Saccharomyces cerevisiae S288C: one gene and its partners. Changing the gene in region 3 together with the main gene of any one other region gives a genetic interaction. Each region holds a gene or a part of one and is shown on either strand. Other genes may lie near its edges. The genes, in order: CLA4, HSL1, FKH2 and HST3.

The links.
Region 1: mutations in FKH2 (region 3) and CLA4 together harm fitness more than expected from each alone (negative genetic interaction), as found in Saccharomyces cerevisiae (5 studies listed by BioGRID, with this or other methods).
Region 2: mutations in FKH2 (region 3) and HSL1 together harm fitness more than expected from each alone (negative genetic interaction), as found in Saccharomyces cerevisiae (5 studies listed by BioGRID, with this or other methods).
Region 4: mutations in FKH2 (region 3) and HST3 together harm fitness more than expected from each alone (negative genetic interaction), as found in Saccharomyces cerevisiae (3 studies listed by BioGRID).

The regions. Positions count from the first base shown.
Region 1 is NC_001146.8:67,327-71,999, reverse strand, and holds CLA4 (serine/threonine protein kinase CLA4), read right to left. Parts: upstream 3,086-4,673; coding exon 557-3,085; downstream 1-556. Other genes in the region: MON2 (Mon2p), read left to right, coding at 1-327; non-canonical poly(A) polymerase TRF5, read right to left, coding at 3,555-4,673. UniProt on the Saccharomyces cerevisiae protein: Involved in budding and cytokinesis.
Region 2 is NC_001143.9:247,337-254,032, reverse strand, and holds HSL1 (protein kinase HSL1), read right to left. Parts: upstream 5,114-6,696; coding exon 557-5,113; downstream 1-556. Other genes in the region: YPF1 (aspartic endopeptidase), read left to right, coding at 1-336; YKL102C (uncharacterized protein), read left to right, coding at 5,666-5,971; metalloaminopeptidase APE1, read left to right, coding at 6,351-6,696.
Region 3 is NC_001146.8:495,182-499,930, reverse strand, and holds FKH2 (forkhead family transcription factor FKH2), read left to right. Parts: upstream 1-1,641; coding exon 1,642-4,230; downstream 4,231-4,749. Other genes in the region: 60S ribosomal protein uL6 RPL9B, read right to left, coding at 1-250; YNL067W-B (uncharacterized protein), read right to left, coding at 374-514. UniProt on the Saccharomyces cerevisiae protein: Transcription factor that regulates the expression of the CLB2 cluster of genes during the G2/M phase of the mitotic cell cycle.
Region 4 is NC_001147.6:376,470-380,062, reverse strand, and holds HST3 (NAD-dependent histone deacetylase HST3), read right to left. Parts: upstream 1,845-3,593; coding exon 501-1,844; downstream 1-500. Other genes in the region: BUB3 (Bub3p), read right to left, coding at 1-282; AHC1 (Ahc1p), read left to right, coding at 2,351-3,593. UniProt on the Saccharomyces cerevisiae protein: NAD-dependent histone deacetylase, which contributes together with HST4 to histone H3 'Lys-56' deacetylation, regulation of telomeric silencing, proper cell cycle progression, DNA damage control, DNA recombination, and genomic maintenance.

The DNA of each region.
Region 1 (4,673 bases), 430 kb from region 3:
GAGAAATTAAGAAAGTTAACTGCTCCTTATCTTTCTGCAAGAATTGCCCTTGCTCTTAGAAGATATATCTCAGATGAATACTTGATTGGGCGAGCACCAATACCAAAATTGCGTAAAACAGAACTAGCTACTCTATTAAATGGGCTATGCGTGATTTTAAGAGGTGTTCTAGATCAAAATTCGACCCTTGGCAACAAACAAATTGGAGTTGAAAACCTACAAACATTAAGTCCGTTGATTTTAAGAACCATCCCAGTATCTCATAAAATGGATGGCCTCCAAGATAAAGTTTTGGAATTATCACTTGGATTTACGAAACTAGACTAGAAGCTGAAGCATGGACGAATATTTTTAAAAATCACGTAGGATAAATAGTAATATTAAACGACATTGGATTGATTATTGTATCGTTGCAGGTCTTTTTTTATTTACTTTAAAAAAAAAACTTTTAAGGTGAACGTATTTATATATTATGCCATTGGTATGCATAGCTAAAAGAAAAGAAATACATAAGATTGTAGTATGTATGATATGCTTATAGAAATAGTTGTGTGCTTCATTCCTTCCACTCCAACAGTGATGTCAAATCCTTTGGATCACATGCCATATTGAAAAAACCGTGGTGTAAAAGCTCTTCGGTTGATGCCCTATATCTAACATCTACGCAAAGGCAAACGCTTAGAAAGCGTTTAATTTCTAAAGACAAACTTTCTGGATGCTTGAGCTTTGGTGTACCATTAGTTGCAATTAAGTACAACGCCTTTAGTGGATCTTCATTTAAATATGGTGGTTCACCCTCCAGCATTTCAATGGTCATGATACCCAAAGACCATACGTCAATCTTTTCATCGTATTCACGTTGTTTGACAACTTCAGGTGCCATCCAGTAAGGTGTCCCAACCATAGTGGCTCTTTTGCTTCTTTTATCAGTTAATCTGGCGCAAAACCCAAAATCGGTAATTTTCACCCTAGCTCTAGTGTCCAGCAAGACATTATCTGATTTAATATCCCTATGAATGATATGCTTGTCGTGTAGAAATTTCAAGCCTTGGCAAGTTTCTCGTACGATATATGCAATTTGGGGTTCTGTTAGTGGTGAATGTGAATTATCGTTGGTGGGACTATTCTCGATAATGTCTGTTAGTGAACCTCCTTCCATAAACTCCATCACAACCCATAGGTCATCGTCTGTTCTCAAATAAGCCTCGAGAAAATTGACGATATTTTTATGACGTGAATCCTTCATAACCAAAATTTCATTCACTATGAGTTCTTTACGAGGTTGTTTAGATAAGACCATTTGCTTGATAGCAACTTTATCTCCTACGTGCGGCTCATCAATATCATTGTTTATGAGTTCGATCATATTACTTTCTGTCGGAATATGCGTCCTCTCTGCAAGGTAGACGGACCCACTTGCACCTTGACCGGCCTTCTCGATCACTTTAAAGCATTGAGATGGATCCGCATTTACGGTGACTTTCTTCAGCTTACTCATTATTTCTGCAGTTGACATGGTAGGCCTTGCTGGCTTCTTCGGTTTGGCCACACCACCCGGTTGTGCGACATCTGCATCCGGTCTCTTTGGGGCCTGCCTCATTGTTTGTGGGGTTGACTGGTCATTCTTAGGTGCAACAGGCTGTACATGTGTGTTACTAGTAGCATTTTGATTTGATGGGTATGGCGCCCTTGGAGCTGATATTGGTGGCTTTGGAGCTGTTCTTTGAGGTTGAAAGTGTGCGGCTGTAGGACTTGAGTTTTGTGCATAACGTGGAATTGCTTGGTTTTGGGTCGACTGTGAACTTAATGGCGATTGAGGTTGTTTGGAATAAGGATTTATCATATTGTGATGTGGCCTATAAGGGTTTAATGGAGACGGAGATGGGGATGGAGATGGAGATGGTCCTTGATGGTGGTATGGATATTGTTGATGCTGTTGTTTTTGTTGCTGCTGCTGCTGCTGCTGCTGCTGCAAAGATCGTTGAGAATTGTTTGGATGCATAGGTCCCCTAGGAAATTGGCCATTGGTTGGGGAGTGTCCGTTTCTCATCTTAGGATATTGTTGGTTGGGAACATTTTGTAAGTGTCTTGGAATATTTGACTGACTAGTGGGCAATTTTGTATTTATTGGTGGCAGTGAGCCGCTTCCTAGAGAAACAGGCGATTTGGTATTTGGTGGTTGTGAGGTTTTCCTCTGTGATACCATACTTGAAGAAACGCCTGAAGATGACTTTGAATTTACTGAATTATTTCTGAGTTTGTTATCATTATAGCTGTTTGGCAGCGATTTTTGAGAGGAGGAAGTTTCACCACTTTGAGGCTTGTCTAAAGTATTTGTGGGATTTCCGGCTCCATTATACTCTTGATAAAACTGCAACACTTGAATGACAGCCGCAGAATTATTGTTCCAATCTTCTCCTGTAATTCTGGAGTGCTTTAATAATTTTTCCCAGTTGGTGGGCATACCAACAAAACTACCTGTTTCTGGATCAAAACCAACGTGAACTTTATGTGTGAAGTTTGTTGGAGAAGATACACCACTTAATAATGGACATTTAGCAAAAATGGCGTCTAACCAACTATGCAAATCGCTTTCTGTCTTTGTAGCAATGTATATTGATTTTTTGGAGTTACTGTCTGATGATACATTCAAAGAGGACGAGGATCCTGATGATACAGAATTTCGGTCACTGCAGCGCACCAACTCAAAACAATATTGTTTCAACTGTGTCCTGCTTACACTTATAATACTAGTTAGTGGTATCTTCAAGATCGCATCGTCATTTTGTTTATCGTTCTTGTAAAGGGCTACATACGAATCGTGTAGCATCAGGTATCTCTTTTGCCATATAAATGAAAGTATACCGTCATCTTTGTAGGACACCCACCCGCTTTTTTTTTTGGAGGTACTTGTACCTAAATGGGACGCTGATGTTAAATCCAGTTGACTCATAAGTTTGGTTATAGGTTGCGTTTGATTATAGCAAGTACGGCCCTGGCTATTTGAACTGGGAGGTCTAGGTGCCGGTCCGATATTTTGGAAATCGTTGTCAGATATCTTATTCGCTGCAGCTGAAAGAGACATATTTTGCACTATTTCTTTTATGTTTCAGTTTCACTGTTCGATTTATTACACCAAAGAAACCACCAGGAATGAATGATAGCAAAAGATGCAATGGTTTTCAGTAGCGCAGTACGTTCGATCGAAATAAAGGACTTAAGGTTTTGATCTTATTAGCAGCAGAAGCAAATAACTGGCAACGCTAATACATGTACAAGGCTCAGGCTAGAAGGTTCTTTCAAATTATGTGTCTCGAATCAGACTCTCCTGCACGTTCCATACTATGTTTCTATCATGCCAGAGATGAAAAATTTCGTCATCTTACCGGCTCGAGAAAATTTCCATATCGGGAAACTATCCTTTTTTGGTGGCTCTATATTTCCGGAAAGGGAAAATACCCACGCGTTTGATATCATTAGCTTATTGTTTCACTTGGACATCGATGTGGTATTCTTGTATAAATAGTAAATAGTCTATAAGAGTCTATATTGTGTTAAAGAGCCTGGCCTTTAGAGAGCCAGTAGTCCCTTCTCGTTTGAGCATCTACTGTCTTAGTTTCCAGTGGTGATTTCTCATCTTGTCCCGAAGGGGTATCTCTTCCTTTTTGATCTTGATCGGATTCTTGATCATTCTCAGAAAGTCCCATCAAGTCATCTATGCTGAGGTTGTTTTGGTGTAGGAGAGAGCCCTGATCAGTTTTTTTCACTTTGCGTTTCAATTTGCTTCTGCTCACTCCAAAATCCGGAGGTGGAGATGGAATGGCACTCTTTTTGATTTCCCCTTCTCTCTTATCCTTTTTTGCCTTCTGTTTCTTCTTTGCAGGTTCGTCAAGTTTGTAGATCTCCTCTACTGGCAAGTCTTCGGTGTCGTTTATAAATAAATCTTCTTGAACTATCCTCGTGCGCCTCTTGTGGTAGCGCTCGTTTTCAATGATGGCTTTATTCTGCACTAAATCTCTTTCGTCGTTGAAATCTCTCTTTTGCCCACGGTATTTGATCACGTTTCCGAGTATACTTTTTCCAACGCGGTCTTTGAATGTAGCAGAATTCAATTCCCAGCATTTATTGACCAACAGTTCGAAGGCACCAGCAAAGGCCTTTTTTATATCCTTCATATTAAAGGAGCCTCTGCTTATATTATTGTTAGGATCACCAGGATCTTGAATAGCTAGCGAGAATTTACTCCTTGAAGGTTCCAAAGTTCTCCAACACGATTTAGGAATATAAGAGGCGTAACCATCAGATATGCTTATAGCAACGTCATCATAACCAAAATTTTTTCCGTAAAGTTCGAAGAAGTCAATCAGTAGAACACCCAGGTTATCTAGAACGTCGATATCGTTTGATTTTATTCGCGGATGCATATTTAAAAAAGAATAAACCAAACAGATTACTGTGAAACCTCCCAATCCTCCTGTGTGCACATTGTTCAATCGTCTTGAATGCAAAAATTGTTTTATTATCAGTACCAGTTCACGTAACCCTGGAGAGTCTCTTAGCCATTCCCTGATGAGTTTTGCAGCCTCTAACCCGTTCGTTCTTTCAAATGAAACGTCGATATGTAACTGTGATTGGGGCTCTATGAATTTGATAATAGGCACTCGCGTTTTAAC
Region 2 (6,696 bases), on a different chromosome or scaffold from region 3:
CCGGCTTTATTATACATTGTTCCTTCCTTGTTGATTAGTACTATTTTGGTAGCTTGCTGGAACAAGGATTTTAAGCAGTTTTGGAATTTTCAGTATGATACGATTGAAGTGGATAAAAGTTTAAAAAAAGCGATAGAAAAAAAGGAGAACTCTATAACTTATTCGACCTTCATCCTATCAGAATACTATAATGATGCCGACAAGTATGCCTTGCTTGGTGATGATGTAAACGAAAATTTTGACGATGATGAAGAATTCGTGCAAGAGGAAGATCTCAGTGACAGCTCTGAGGAAGAGCTTTCTGAAGAAGATCTCTTGGATGACGAATCTTCTTGAGCTCCAAAAGAAACGACAGCTCTTTTTACCCCTCCAGGGTTGTATTTATCTTCTAATCTAGGACAATGTTTGTAAAACCCTCTTTCTTTCCTTCGTGTCTCATGTCTCTCCATTTATTAATGTTCTTTTAAACTATGTTTTCTCACGCCTGTCCATTCGGTTCTCGTACGTTAAATTTTTCAAATTATTGTTGTATAATTATATAACATCTATATAGAATTTATGAACGTCCGGCATTTCGAATTACTCTCTCCACATCATCATTAAACTTTTCAAAGGCTTTATTGGAACTTGTGTTTGAATGTTTGCTTCTTTTTTTTACAGTAATTACCGTAGATGCATTGGGTGTGCTAGTAATCTTGATTTTGAATTTGAAGTTGCCTTTTACAAATTTACAATCGTATTCCACCACCTTTCTCCCAAATTTGTGATCTAGGTTCTTTAATTGATAGTCGATACTATTCTTGTTGAATTCATTTAATGTTAGCATATGCGCATCATCAAATGATATATTCGTTACATGATTCTTGGATGCCTTAGTAGCATTATTATGAGAAGAAAAGTTTTGAAATAGTTTGACGAACCAATTCTTTTTATCACTGGAAGGCGCTTCTTCAACTTCAACATTTTGGACACTTTTTAGAATTGGCTTTTTTGTATGGGTTTGTGTATTTGATTCCATAGCGGTATCCTTCGTAACTTTAATCGTTGAGGGTTTTGGTATTTTAGAGTAGTTATTTTCTGTATTATTTGCATTTTCCTTTTTTTCAACCACCGGCAACACAAGTTGAGAAGATTCCTCGGATATTTTATTGTCTAGCTTGGTATGCTCTTCTTTAATTTTTCCCCCACCTACTTTTTTAGATTCTTCCTCCTCCTCATCGAAAAGCATTGTCACTCGTTGTTTTGGATTAACGCTTTCCTCAGATGGTCTTCGCTTTGAATAGCTCATACTTGATTCAAGAATATCAGCTTGAGAAGTATGCCCATCTTGATCTTCCTCCAAATCTTTGAACATTGACTGTAAACTTTGAGAAATGCCTAATGCATTACTATCACGACTACCACGCGTGGAAGAAAACCTCTTTTGCATATGTGTATTAGAAGGATTTTCTGGTGACAATCTAAGTTTAGAAAGTATCTCTTCAGTAGTCTCTCTGGGTATACCAGAACTGTTATTATTCCAATAAAGACTTACTCTAACATTTGTCGCGGGAGTAAGAACGTTTGTTGTCGCCATAGTGTCAATAGATACCGCTTTCCTATGCACACTTGCTCGTGAATCGCTTTCTGAAGAAGATGTATTTAATGAACCCTCATCGGAGGGCGCATCTTCAAAAATATTAATGGCTTTTTCATCATATGTGTTTGGTATAGTATAATCTGGAATATAATTAGTATCGCTATTATCTGGTTCTTTTTCCTTCGAGATATAGGCTGCCGATTTGATTACTTTTTCTTTTGTAAAAGAAGATGCTTTGGGCGAAGTATTGATTTTATTATTGTCCGTGTCGTTGTTCATCAGTTGAATCGCCTGAGCGGTAAAGGTGTTTGTTGGTATTTCCATCGCAAATGTCATATCAGAGATTCCATCCAGATCATTACTCAAATAGGAGCCAGGTGAGCCCTGATTACGTTTAACGGATAAATTGGCGTTCAAATTAGACCGTGGAGTTAGAGATATTTTGGCAGATTGTTTTCGCAAAGGGTGTGACATGGCTACACTTCTAGATTGGTTCTGTGGCACACTTAGATGCTTATCATCACCGTCATCAGCGAGTATCTGGCTAAGATTTTTGAACGTCATAGATGTGTTCAAAAAACTAGAAGGTAAAGACAGCATTGGTTTTTGAATTGTACTAGATTCTGCTAAAACACTGGGATCTCTCGAAGATGTTGCTACTGTTGTTAAAGGTACATATGAACTTTCGATTGAAACATCTGAGGCTTTGACTGGTTTTTCGTCTTCCACATGTTCACTCATGAACAAGGAACCTCTCTCATGGGTCCAGTGAGAGGCTGGCTCCTTTTTGAATTTCAGTCCCTGCAATAGTGATTCCACTTTTGAATTCACTGGCTGGGAGATGTTACGGCGGGGATCTAGAGATAAGGACGGTTTACCTTGATCATTAGGCAAAGAATTTACACGAAGTTCTTGGTGCTGAATAGGTTTGAGTGGTGACGGGCGGTCATTTTTTTTTTGAAGTTGTTCTCTTTGAATCTTTTTTTCTATCCTCATACCTTCCTGTTTATTCATTTTATTGAATGAGTTCGTGATATCTGAAAGGGCCGCTCTCTTTGGCTTCTGTTCTTCCAAATAACTTGAGCTTAACGTGTTTTCTTTTTCAAAGATAGGAAATGAAGAGAGCCCTGACATATTCTCAGATGGTTTATATGACATATTGAATTGATTTTTCTCAATTTTGGTTGGATACTCCGGGCCCTCATTTTCCTTATTTGTAGACACCCCAGAGATCGTAAAAGTGTCTGCCGAAGATTTTGTATCGTTTTGCCTCTGTCTTTGGGTGTCGCGTTCTTTTTCATTGTCCTCTTCCTCTTCGAGTATCCTATCTAAGGCGTTTCCAAATAAGATCTGATCGCATAAGATCTCAAAATCAGAGTCTGATTCCAACGAATGGGGTTCTGATTTATTCACATTTTCGGATGCTGGTTTCTTACTAGGGAGAGGATCGTCAAAGACTAATAAATCATTCAGGTTCAAGGAACGTTTTGAAATTGACTGTAATGAGTATAAGGATCTCTTTGAAGCCGAGTTTTGTAGTGTTCTTCTAGCGGCAACAGTTGCAGCTATATTCTTCCTCGAAAGTGATTTATGTATTGATTTAGTAGATGGGGAGGCGTGGATTGCCCTTCTTGACAATGAATATCTTGAAGGCGACTTCGGCAGTTGAGGTAGAGGCATCTCATTATCATGCACAGTTTCTCTAGAAGTTGAAGCGGACAATGATAATCTGGAATTCGATAAGCGTAGCGATCTTCTCGAACGTGATGAAATAGAGGTGTATGAGTTACGGAAAATCCTTGATGAAGAAGCATTGAATATGGGAATAGCGGGTGGTAATGTTACAGCTTCTGCTTCAGCCTTATCACTTTCAGGTTGACTGAGCGTATTGATACTAAATTGCGATTTTTGTGCCAATACAGGGGCATTAATTTCTGTATTAACCCCTGTAATTGCGTTGTTCTGATTCACTGTTGAAGTATCTTCTGAATGAATTTCTAGAGAATGTAAAGTCTTCACATCATTGTTCTCGCTCCTTAGGCCTGTATTATTGGCAGTTTTGGATGCGTATTCAATCCTAGGTTCATTTACGCTACTTTCTGTTGCTGATTTCTTGTTTTCGCTTGACGAGGACAATGATATTGAGTGACGTTGTTTATATTGTAATAACAGTGAGTAGAATAGTTTTTCCTCCGACATTGGCTTTTGAAGCAACTTGGCAGTGATTAGTTCACGAGAAACTCCATGCCACAAAATTTGCAAACTCCTCAAGATGGATTCATCAATTTCCCCTTTTGAATGTAAAGTTACAATAGAGGGCGAGACATTATTTAGCAAATGCAAATCCGAGTTAGATTTTCCCCTCGCCATGTTATCCTTTCTCATTTTCCTCAGCACTTTATTAACTGGGAGATCATCATATTTTTTGATCAGAGGATGCTTCAATATCTCTTGAGTGGTAATTCTTTTTTCTGGATCAATTACCAATATTTTTGATATCAAATCACGAGCCTCAGAAGATAAATTTGAGGGCATTTGATATTTGCCCGATTGAACTTTCAACAACAGCTTTTTGATGTTGTCATCATTAAATGGTAAATGACCGGTGAGTAATGCAAATAAAACGATACCGCAGGACCAGACATCGCTAGGACCGCCATGATATGGTCTACCCATAACAATTTCAGGAGACGCATAGTGTGGAGAGCCACATGAAGTTTTTAAAAGTTTATTAGGAAGCTCTAATGCTGCCATGCCGAAATCAGCAATTTTGATTCTCCTATTCTTTTTATCTAATAATAAATTTTCAGGCTTCAGATCACGATGGCATATATTAAAAGAATGACAATAGGAAACACCTTCAACTATCTGCTTGAAGTAATGGATAGCCTCCCTTTCAGGTAGCTTTCCCTTCGAGACCAGATAATCGAATAATTCGCCACCATCAACATATTCCAAAACTAGGTACAGCTCTGATTTGTTCTCCCAAACTTCAAACAATGCCATAACGTTTGTGTGAGATATCAATTTCATGATTACTATTTCTCTCTCTATGCCATATGGGTTCGTTTGAGAATGGTTACTATGTTCTCTAGATGCTATTGATGGAGAAGATACATTGGAAGTGACCATGGAAGAAGAGTAAGAATTAGGAACAGTTCCATTATTAGAACAATGAACAAAGGCTTTCTTCTTGGGGACAATTTTAATGGCAGCTAATTGTCCTGTTTCCATATTTTTAGCCAAGCGAACCCTACCAGAAGATCCCTTCCCCAATGTTTTGCCAAGTTTCCAAGGACCCACCGTGTCTCTGGATTTTCTCTTTGATGATTTTGTAGCAACACTTACGGTAGAGTCGGGCTGAGATAATCTTTTGGTAGCGTCGTTCACAGATTGTACAACACGCTCCAAATGCCCCGACGCCCTTTTTGGATTCGAATTTACTTTGGCCATGGCCCTTTTAGCTGCCTTCTTGGCCAATGAAGACGGGCGACCTTTGGGTACGTGGCTCGTTTTTGAAACGTGACCAGTCATGTCGTGTGGTAAAAATAAAAAATATTAATAACAAATAATAAAGGAGTGAATATAGTTGGTTGTTGATTTATTTATCAGTATTTTTTGTCCCGCAAATCTATGTCGTTCTTTTTACCTTGTCTTTCTTGTAATTTTATTATTTATCTCTTTTCGCGATTAGTAGCAAGTAGTATGATGGATATCCAACCTATTTGATGATCTATTTGAGTTCAACTCTCTGTTTTAATGGCCTCTCGCTGTCCAATTTACGTCCTTGCAGTCGGATAACTAGCGAACTTACGATCCAAAGGGAGTTTTAAGAAGAAACAGGTTTCGAGCAAAAGGTAACTTGCTTATATTAAGAACGCCAATAAGAGTGGCCACTATAATGCTGCTCCCAGCCGGTACAAGACGGTACGGTACGTGATGGAGATTAGTTTTCACTATTTAGCCCAAACAACCCAACGCGAAAATGACCACGCGAAAAGAAAAATTAGTAAAAATATTTCACAACGCGAAAAATAAGGACGAAGGCAACACATTCCACCTTCCCTGTTATTGTAAAACGCACAAATGTGTGCTTTATTCGCTGAGGTTTCATCGACAGCTGCAGCCAGTTGTTCATTCGGTGTTCTCTTGTGCAGCGGCTCAAATTGTGGCAGGCTTGTAGGCTCCGAACGCCGTAAGGTACTTTATGTTTTTAATGTCAACGTTTGCAAGAAAATGTCATCCTATTACTTTCTGAGGCATGATAACATTGTAATCCCTTATCTCTTGCGCTTGTTGGTATCAGATAAAGAAGCATCAAACAAGAACCCACTCCTTCCTTTTCTCATGGATAAAGAGAGGTCGCACCATTTCGTGAGGAATATGAATTAGTCAGCTTCTACTTTAGGGTATAGGTTGCAAACTTCCGTTTTTCTCAAGGTTTAATCAGAAGCATAATAGGTCTTCGGATGATTTCTTGTCTAATTCAAAAAAAAAATAATCTGGGATAGGTTTTTCGGGAAAAACAACTAGGGGTGATGCTGTTTTGCACCTCTATTACTGTAAGATAGGCTATGCAAGCAAACGACAGTAAGAAAGAATAGGGTTAAGTGAAATAGTTGACACACCCCTTAATCGTTCCATTAGATAATAAAAATTCATTTATAAGCAGTTGACTTCACAGAACAAGACATACACTGTATAGAGCCTGATCAGTAATCTTAGTGCAATTGTAGAAACCTGCACAACCAACAAAATTAAGAAAAAAAGAATGGAGGAACAACGTGAAATACTGGAACAATTGAAGAAAACTCTGCAGATGCTAACTGTAGAGCCATCTAAAAATAACCAAATCGCCAACGAAGAAAAGGAAAAGAAAGAAAATGAAAATTCGTGGTGCATCCTCGAGCACAATTATGAGGATATTGCACAGGAATTCATTGATTTCATTTACAAGAACCCTACCACTTACCATGTAGTATCATTTTTCGCGGAGCTGTTAGATAAGCATAACTTCAAATACTTGAGCGAGAAATCCAATTGGCAGGACTCCATTGGCGAAGATGGTGGGAAATTCTACACTATAAGAAATGGAACTAACCTATCTGCCTTTATCC
Region 3 (4,749 bases):
TGGTGACACCAGTGATCATGTTGTCAACCAAAGATTTAACGGTTCTCAAAGCGGCAACGTGCTTTCTGTCACCGTTGTGAACAGCAACCTTGATCAATTGGTTGTTGACCTTGGTGAAGGTAACATCAATATGCTTCAAGTTCTTGGTCAAAGTACCTCTTGGACCGACAACCTTGACGATTCTGGACTTAATGCTGACAGTAACACCTTCTGGGATTTCAATTTGTTGTTCGGTTTGAATGTACTTCATCTTTAGTGACTATTGGAGGCTAGAGTTTGGTTTATTGTCGTTTCAGAGAGAGAAAATGAACTATTTCAAAAAGAGAATAGGTAAAGGGAAAGGAAATAGAAATATGGTTGGTAATTTTTTTTTTCATGTTTGCCGTCCGTTTAAATAATTTTCACTTTTCCTGTGCGTCGCTTTAAAAAAAAATTCACTAGAAGAAAAAAAAAAATTCCCAGTTAATAGTGCAGTCTTGGAAACAACACCAGTGCACCACATGAGTTTACACATCAGATGCAAACGGGATCGTACATTCGTAACATTGATGCTTGTATACGTCTCTCCTATAGTTCCTGGCAAGCACAACGTGTGACACAGAAGAAATGGCAATGCTAAACATGAAAATAGATTTTCTTGGCTGTAAGTAAATCGATTGCAAAATTGGTTCCTACCGCTACGATATCACACACTTGTCTTCTTAAAAGAGGAGCAGTAAATCCAAAATTTGCCTGGCATCAATAGTCGTCTTAAAAATGTCTAGAGGAACTACCTCTGTTATCTCTTCTTTTTGTTACTGACATACTAATTAATTTTTACATAATTGCTGTCCTCCTTCCCCTTCTATTTGCGAATTAGAAGTGATGAAAAAAGAGCTAAACATAAAGAAAAAAAACTTCCTTCGGCTGGTCCAAAAGGGTCCAATAGCAGAAAGTAAAAAGCTATTTTGAAACTATAGAACCTCAAGAACATTAACATTTGAGTCGGATCATGTCAACTGTAAGAACTGAATATTAATTCAACATATTTTAATAATTTGTGTCATATGTATCTTGCAACAGGCTTTCAAAAATTTGCTGCCTGTTGGGTACAGGCTGTTTTTTATTGATTACGCTTTATGCTTATCCCTTAAGCTGCAACATTTTGATGGCCTCTTCTTCCTGTCTCTTTCTGTGCCATATAATCGTTCCCTTAGCATTGATGATGACTTATGCCGGACCCCGCCCCAGAACCCTTCGCACAACATTACCGAAAATCTTCGATTTCGCTCATTAAAAGAGGGAAAAAAAATTCGCTCGCCCTGTGCCATTTGGATTTTCTAGGTAAATTAGTAAATAAAGAAAAAAAATGCCAATGGTTCCGCATTTCTAAAGGTAAACAAAAAAGTGACATTCATAGGATCACTATATTTCTGTAAAACTTAAAACACTATAGAGCAGTCCTTTTCCACTGAATTGAACCGCTCAATAATCAAGATCATACTAAGGAACAAAAGGCTAAAAACACTTCAAAGCCAATCTTCCCGATTCCCTCGCATAAGTGATCATTGCTAGAAAAAAAAAAAAAAAACAGTACGATACACATAAATATTGGTGTGCTCCCTCCGTTTCCTTTATTGAAACTTTATCAATGCGCAAGAAATGTCCAGCAGCAATTTTAACGAGATGAACGAACTAAATATGACTCAAACAAATTATGGCAGCACAAAATATACCGCTCAGCATCATCAAGGTGTAATAAATGCCATCATCTCTTCACTGACAGCCCCAGATCAGCCAACTACCGTATCATTACAATATTCCAACGACAAGAACATGGCGACGGAAATACAAGCTTATGCTAAACTCTCCGGACCAAACTGGACCTATTATGTGAAGGATTTGGAAGTTTCTATTGGTAGAAATACTGATCCCTTAAACAGTGCACTACAGGAAAATTCAGATGGTGTAAAAAACTCATATAGAGTGAATATTGATCTCGGACCTGCCAAAGTCGTTTCTAGAAAGCACGCCATAATAAAATACAACATGAATATCGGCGGTTGGGAATTGCACATATTGGGCCGTAACGGCGCTAAAGTAAACTTTCAAAGGACTCATAATGGACCCAACAATCCTCCCATTCGATTATCTTCCGGAACCCTGCTAGACATAGGAGGAACACAAATGATGTTTATCCTGCCCGACAGTGACCCGGTTGTTGCTCCTATTTGTATAGAACACCTGATGCCTAATTTAATAAACATGTTCGGATTGGAAGGCAACAACAACCCCCTGCTAAGAGACATTATAAAACAGTCTAATTATGCTAAGCAAAGGCAATTAACCTCTAATCAACAAATCAAAGGGTTTAAGCTTTATGGAAGTGGTGGCAATGCTCCTTTTGGTAGCGGAGCGAACTTGGGCCCTAGCGAACAAGGCATCTTCAACAACAATAATAATAGTAAGAACAAGAATGGCTACTTTACGTCCATAAACCCAAACTATACAGCATCTACAACAACAAGCAATACCATCAATCCACAAGCGGCTTCTCCACAGGGTCCTCCAAATACCATCATCGCTGCAAATTTTGTAGATTCATACAAGTCATCAAATGCCTATCCTCAAGCTTTGGATTTTACTTCGGACCTATCCCATGACGAAAACAGGAACGTTAAACCACCTCATTCATACGCAACTATGATAACACAGGCCATACTGTCGTCGCCGGAGGGAGTTATTTCACTAGCCGATATCTACAAGTATATTTCTTCCAATTATGCATACTACAGGTTTGCTAAATCCGGTTGGCAAAACTCCATTAGGCATAATTTATCATTAAATAAGGCGTTTGAAAAGGTTCCGAGAAGACCCAATGAGCCGGGCAAAGGTATGAAATGGAGAATTAGCGAATCTTATCAGCAAGAATTTCTAAACAAGTGGAATACCGGAAAAGTGGGGAAAATCAGGCGGGGATCCTCAGTAGCAAGGCAACTACAGTTACATATGGCAAAATTCAACAGTTTACCCATGGAAATGGACTATAGGTTATCGCTTAACATGGCTCAACCCCCTAAACGACAACTACAATCTCACAATGTGCTAGAACCATCCAACAATAACATCATAGAAGGGTTCGTACAACATGTCCCATCCAAAGGTAACCTTCCTGCATCGCAACAATCACAGCCCCCTGTGTCACATCAAAATCAGTCACAGCAGCCGCCACCACAGGAACAACGTCAAGAGATTCAATTTACCTTCGCGGATACCCAAAATCGAAATATAGCGTTAGCAAGACCTATCAAGACGCCACAATTGCAAGCTCCCAATTCAAATGCTAACTTAAATCAAAACAATATGAAAGAATACAAAGAGTCACTTCATCCGCCTGCAATATCAATATCACAAATGAATAGGCAATCTCCAAACAACGCTCTAGTCTCGTTCACTAATGCATGTGCTAATTCCAAAATAATAAACAACATCAGCGATAGCGCCGACAAATCGACAAACAATAACGGCGGTACCAAAATGAATCTACCCGCCATATCTACTTCTTCACTTGATGAAAATGGTAATTTGGAGCCGACAACTACCACGTCTTCCGGTAATTCTAACTCAGTTCCGCAAACTGGAACAACAACTTCCTCATTGGCAGCGAACAGTCTACGCCTTTCTCAACCATATGACACGCTATTACGATCTCCTACTAAGGCATTTCATATTACTGCGATGGAAGCATATACACCAGAAAGAGGAAGCGCTAATAGGGCTAGGTCACCTCTTCATAGTAATAGCAACAATACTAATAATAACGGCGCAAATAATTCTAATTTACAGACTAGCGGAATGGAAAACAAACAAACAGGTCTAGTATTGGATTCTAATGTCTTGAAAAGCATGGAATCAAACAATGATAATAGACGGCTGACACCATCAACAAGTAAATCGCAGAATGTCAAAAGTTCTCCAGGTGTATGGAATTTATTGCAGTTTAGCTCAACAAACAACACTCCTGCCGCAGATAGCGGAGGCAACAAGAGAGGATTTTCCATAAATCCGGACATTAAAGCCAAAGAAAACGAGAATGCTACTTCAGAAAAAGATTCGGACTCTAACTCAAATGATCTGGAAACTAAAGATATTAATTCTTCACCTTTGAAAAACCAAGGTGGTAGCACCGCCAATGCCAAGGAACTAATACTAGATACGGATGGTGCAAAGATCAGTATTATCAACAACTAAGACAAGAAACAAGGTGAATCACTAAGACTAAAGAAATGAATGAGAAATGGCTAAGCTGCAGCCAGTCATATGAGCTGCTTTCCTTTCATTCTATTGTCGTCCGAATCTATGTCACGAAGTACATATATAACTGTCTTTCATATATAATATTTAATCACCGTGCATTCCCTATTTTACTCTTCCTCATGCGTTTGATCATCTGACCTTTATGATTTTGAACACCCCGCAATGTTCACTCTAATTTATGCAACTGAACTTTATTTTCGCTGCTGTGTTTGCATCCTTGACATATTCAATCCGTACACTATACACACCCAAACCTCCTTTAAAAATTTCCTATGAATCAGAAAATTTGGCTGTTTCTCAACGCTTCGGCCAACGGGTGAAAAACAGCGGCAGAAGGACTTCCTTCGGAGAACGCTCCTAGAACCTGAAACTGCCCGCTAAAGCGTCTCCTGGGCTGTCCCCAAGTGGGTGATTTTCCATTTGATCCTTGTATCAGCTTGGGAGGGTGGTGAT
Region 4 (3,593 bases), on a different chromosome or scaffold from region 3:
AGCTTGGAAGCTGGGACTACCTATCAAATCAACTTTTAGAATTTCACCCTGTACAGTTCCCACGTATATTTGCAGATCGGTATTGTCGATGAAATTGCAGCACAATAACGGATGTTTATATCGTAGCGATTGTAAAAGGTCAACATTCTTTGCTTGAATGTCGAATTTGTAGACTGTTAAAGAGCCATCCCAAGACGTAATCAAAAGCAGTGACTTGGAAGGGATTATTTTGATGTCGCTTATGTAGTCTTTTGGGGCCTGCTCAATTTGTACTATCTGCATGCCGCGACTGTTGTGTTTTCGTGTTGCAGATATCAGATAGCTTTTCTTTCGCGATGTGATATTTTTTTCGTTCACTATTTTTTGTATTCTCGGACATGCAGATCTCCGTTGGTATATGTATGAGTATATAAATGGAAGATAAATTAAACGGATGATATATTATGCAAAGGGGTGTCTGCCTCGATTATTTATCGTTAACTCAATTTTAATAGTTAAGTTTATGAGGCTTGGTTGTCACCGAAAGTTGGTCGTATCTTAGCGCGTTTTCTTGTATCCAAGTTTTCCTCTTCGTCTTCCTCACTGGAGTTTTCTGGTGACAGTATTTTTCTCTTAACTGTGTTTAACGACTTTATTTTTGTATTCAATTCGTTGTTTCCTTGAATATCAATCCCCTGGGCAGTTCGTAGAGGGGTTGTTGGGGGGGTTCCGATTGAGTCTTTTTGGGCCTTCATTTGCTTTCTCAAGTCGCTCGCCTCCCTTTTTAACTGTCTTAACTTCTTAATTTGATCTTGCGTCTTGAAGAAATCTGGTATTTGGGATTCAAGAAATGTGACCCAATTATCACAATCTGAGTGGATTTGGTAGTCTATAATGCCGTGCCAAGAGGATTCGCCAATGGGTGTCTTGTTTACGAGAATGATCAGGCCGCCACGATCGTGAATTTTCTTACTTAATTTTTTTACCAGTTGTTTCACACCATCAACTTTCAAACTTGTACCCATGATGATCAAAAAATCAGGATTGCCTTTAATTATGTCAAGATTTAGGCCTTGCGTAATAATTTCACAGGATGGATGGTTTTCACCATACAGGACGATATTAGGTCTTAGAATACCCACATTAGAACCAAGAGTTCGCTTTCCTTCATTCAATCTCTTGTTGATAAGTGCTTCGCAATCCGGACACAATGGTAACTCACCTCTTCTTAGACAACGAGACCAGTACCTGCTCCAGGGAAAAGTCTGGAAGCACTTTGTACACGAAAGAGTTTTCAGGTCGCCGTGCAACTGAACGACATCCAGATTTTTCCAATGTGAACTAAATGAGGTAAGCGGTAATTTCCTATTTGATAAAGTAAGTCCTATGCTTTCTTCGAGCCCATCGATGTTTTGCGTGTAACAGCGCAGCAGTTTGTTCCTATCTTTTAGATGCGCAATGAACTTGTGCGTCTTAGTCGGCTTTGCCAATTGAACATTTGAATAGAGCCTCTCCATAAATTTAGCAAAAATGGATATTTTGAAGTCATCTCTAAATAGCGAAATATCAAACATTTCCCTGCCGGACTTGATAGACCAATACTGTGAACAATCCTTTTTCACTAGGTCGTAGAGCCCATCAGAAGAGCGAAAGTCAGGAATGCCCGCGTTGCACGAAATGCCTGCCCCAGTCAGACAAGCAATTCTCCTAGATCTGCTCAACTGCTTGGTTACGCGCCGGAGAACTTCATCGTCGGCATCAAGACCTATAATATGTGCCAGTTTCTCAGTCTGCAAAGAGGACGGTAAGTCGGAGCACATTGAGCCCGATCGACTGGCAGGTGGCGAGGGCGATACTGAAGTCATTTTTGAGAAAGATGGATCTAGTTGTATGTAAATTAATCCCTTCAGTTTTTACACCACTAACCACGTATTTGCCCTTGCTTGTGTTATATATAAGACGTACGCCAGATATAGTTCTCTGGCACGAATAACATTGCTTGCTTTTATTGACGTTTTACCCTTTGTGGTAACAGCAAACATAAACGTCGTTCGTGATGTTGAGTTACTTATTGTTACCCGCAATTGAGGGATACCCGCCACAGAAACACATGCAGTGCATTTGCCACTGTGCATAGCCGTAGGAAGAGGGAAAAACGAACAGGGAAGAAGCAGGAAGAGCAGACAGCAAGAACCCGTGCTAAGGAAGGTGATGAACTTTGGCCACTGAAGGCGCATTTTACCTCTGAAGGATCCCGTTTCCACATTTGTAAGCTAGTGTTCGTTCATATAAACACCCTGATCTTCGGCATTTCACTACTCTTCGGGCTCACGCTTCTCATCCAACACTTTGTGTATATGTCCATCTCCTCATGATGAGTCCCGCCCAAGATAAACTGCAGCACCAGCATCATAATCCTAATTCTTCCTCATCGTCATCCTCTAAGATGACGAACGTTTATCAGGTTACCACGCCAAAGTCTCCTCAGGATTTGGAAAACAACATGGATGAGCCCTTCAAAATGGACACCGCCACCAGTAATCCGGACAAGGATAGCGAAAATACCCAGCGGTTGAAGTACGAATGTGCCAAAGGGGAAATACAGAATGTTTTGAACCTACATATAATGCTAAACCACAAGCATGTTAGGCACTTACGAAGAAATGTTCAAAAGGTTAACGCAAAACTAGCTCTCTTGGAAACCCTGCATAAGGATACTGGTCTATTGAACAAAATCGAACGGACGTATCAACTCAAAATAAAACAACATCAGCAGCATAGCGTGCTCGGCGGCCACTTTCACGACAGTACGGCTACGGAAAATACGAACGCATCAAATTATAACCTGTCATACCCGGTTCTATCGGATTATAACATCAACTGTCAGCCTTTGTCTTCGAGCAGCAACAGAAATCTGTCAACAACACGCATACCACACCACCATTATCATACTAGAAGCAAGAGTAACGGGCTTTTGCTAGAACCTTCTGCCCTCCGTCCGGCAAATTCGAATATAATTGATTACAGGCTAACAGGTTCTAAATCTCTATCAGAAGCCATAACCAAGCCCACTCCCGTCTCGCTTCCTCACTCTAATTCGGATGGCATTTCTTCACCTCGTTCCTCCTCAATCTCCCCCTTAGACGAGCAGCCGGGGTTCCAGATACTCCCTTTTAAACCAAGTCAGATGCATCTTAACCACAGACGTAATTACAGTAGCACTTGTTTGACGAGCAATAGCGGTATCATCGGTAAGACTGAAAATAATGAGCCCATTTTTAGAAGATATGACGGCATTTTGGTTATAATTACGTGCTCCAAATGTGACCGTTCCGGTTTCACTTCCGCGCAAGGTATCGTGAACCATACTCGACTAAAACATTCTAAACTATATTCAAGCCAACCATTGGCAGTTTTAAACAACCAAAAACTACTTCCTAATGATAAGCAGGATCCGGAAATTTTATCTAAGTTCAAGAAACTAAATTTGGACCCAAACAAAGACTACCTACCCTCTGACATTGCAATCCCAAAACCACAATCACCAATCAACCACTCCGAGAACCATACGCGGGCTCCAAAGACTGTCAAGAACACTCCTCATTTAGAAAAAC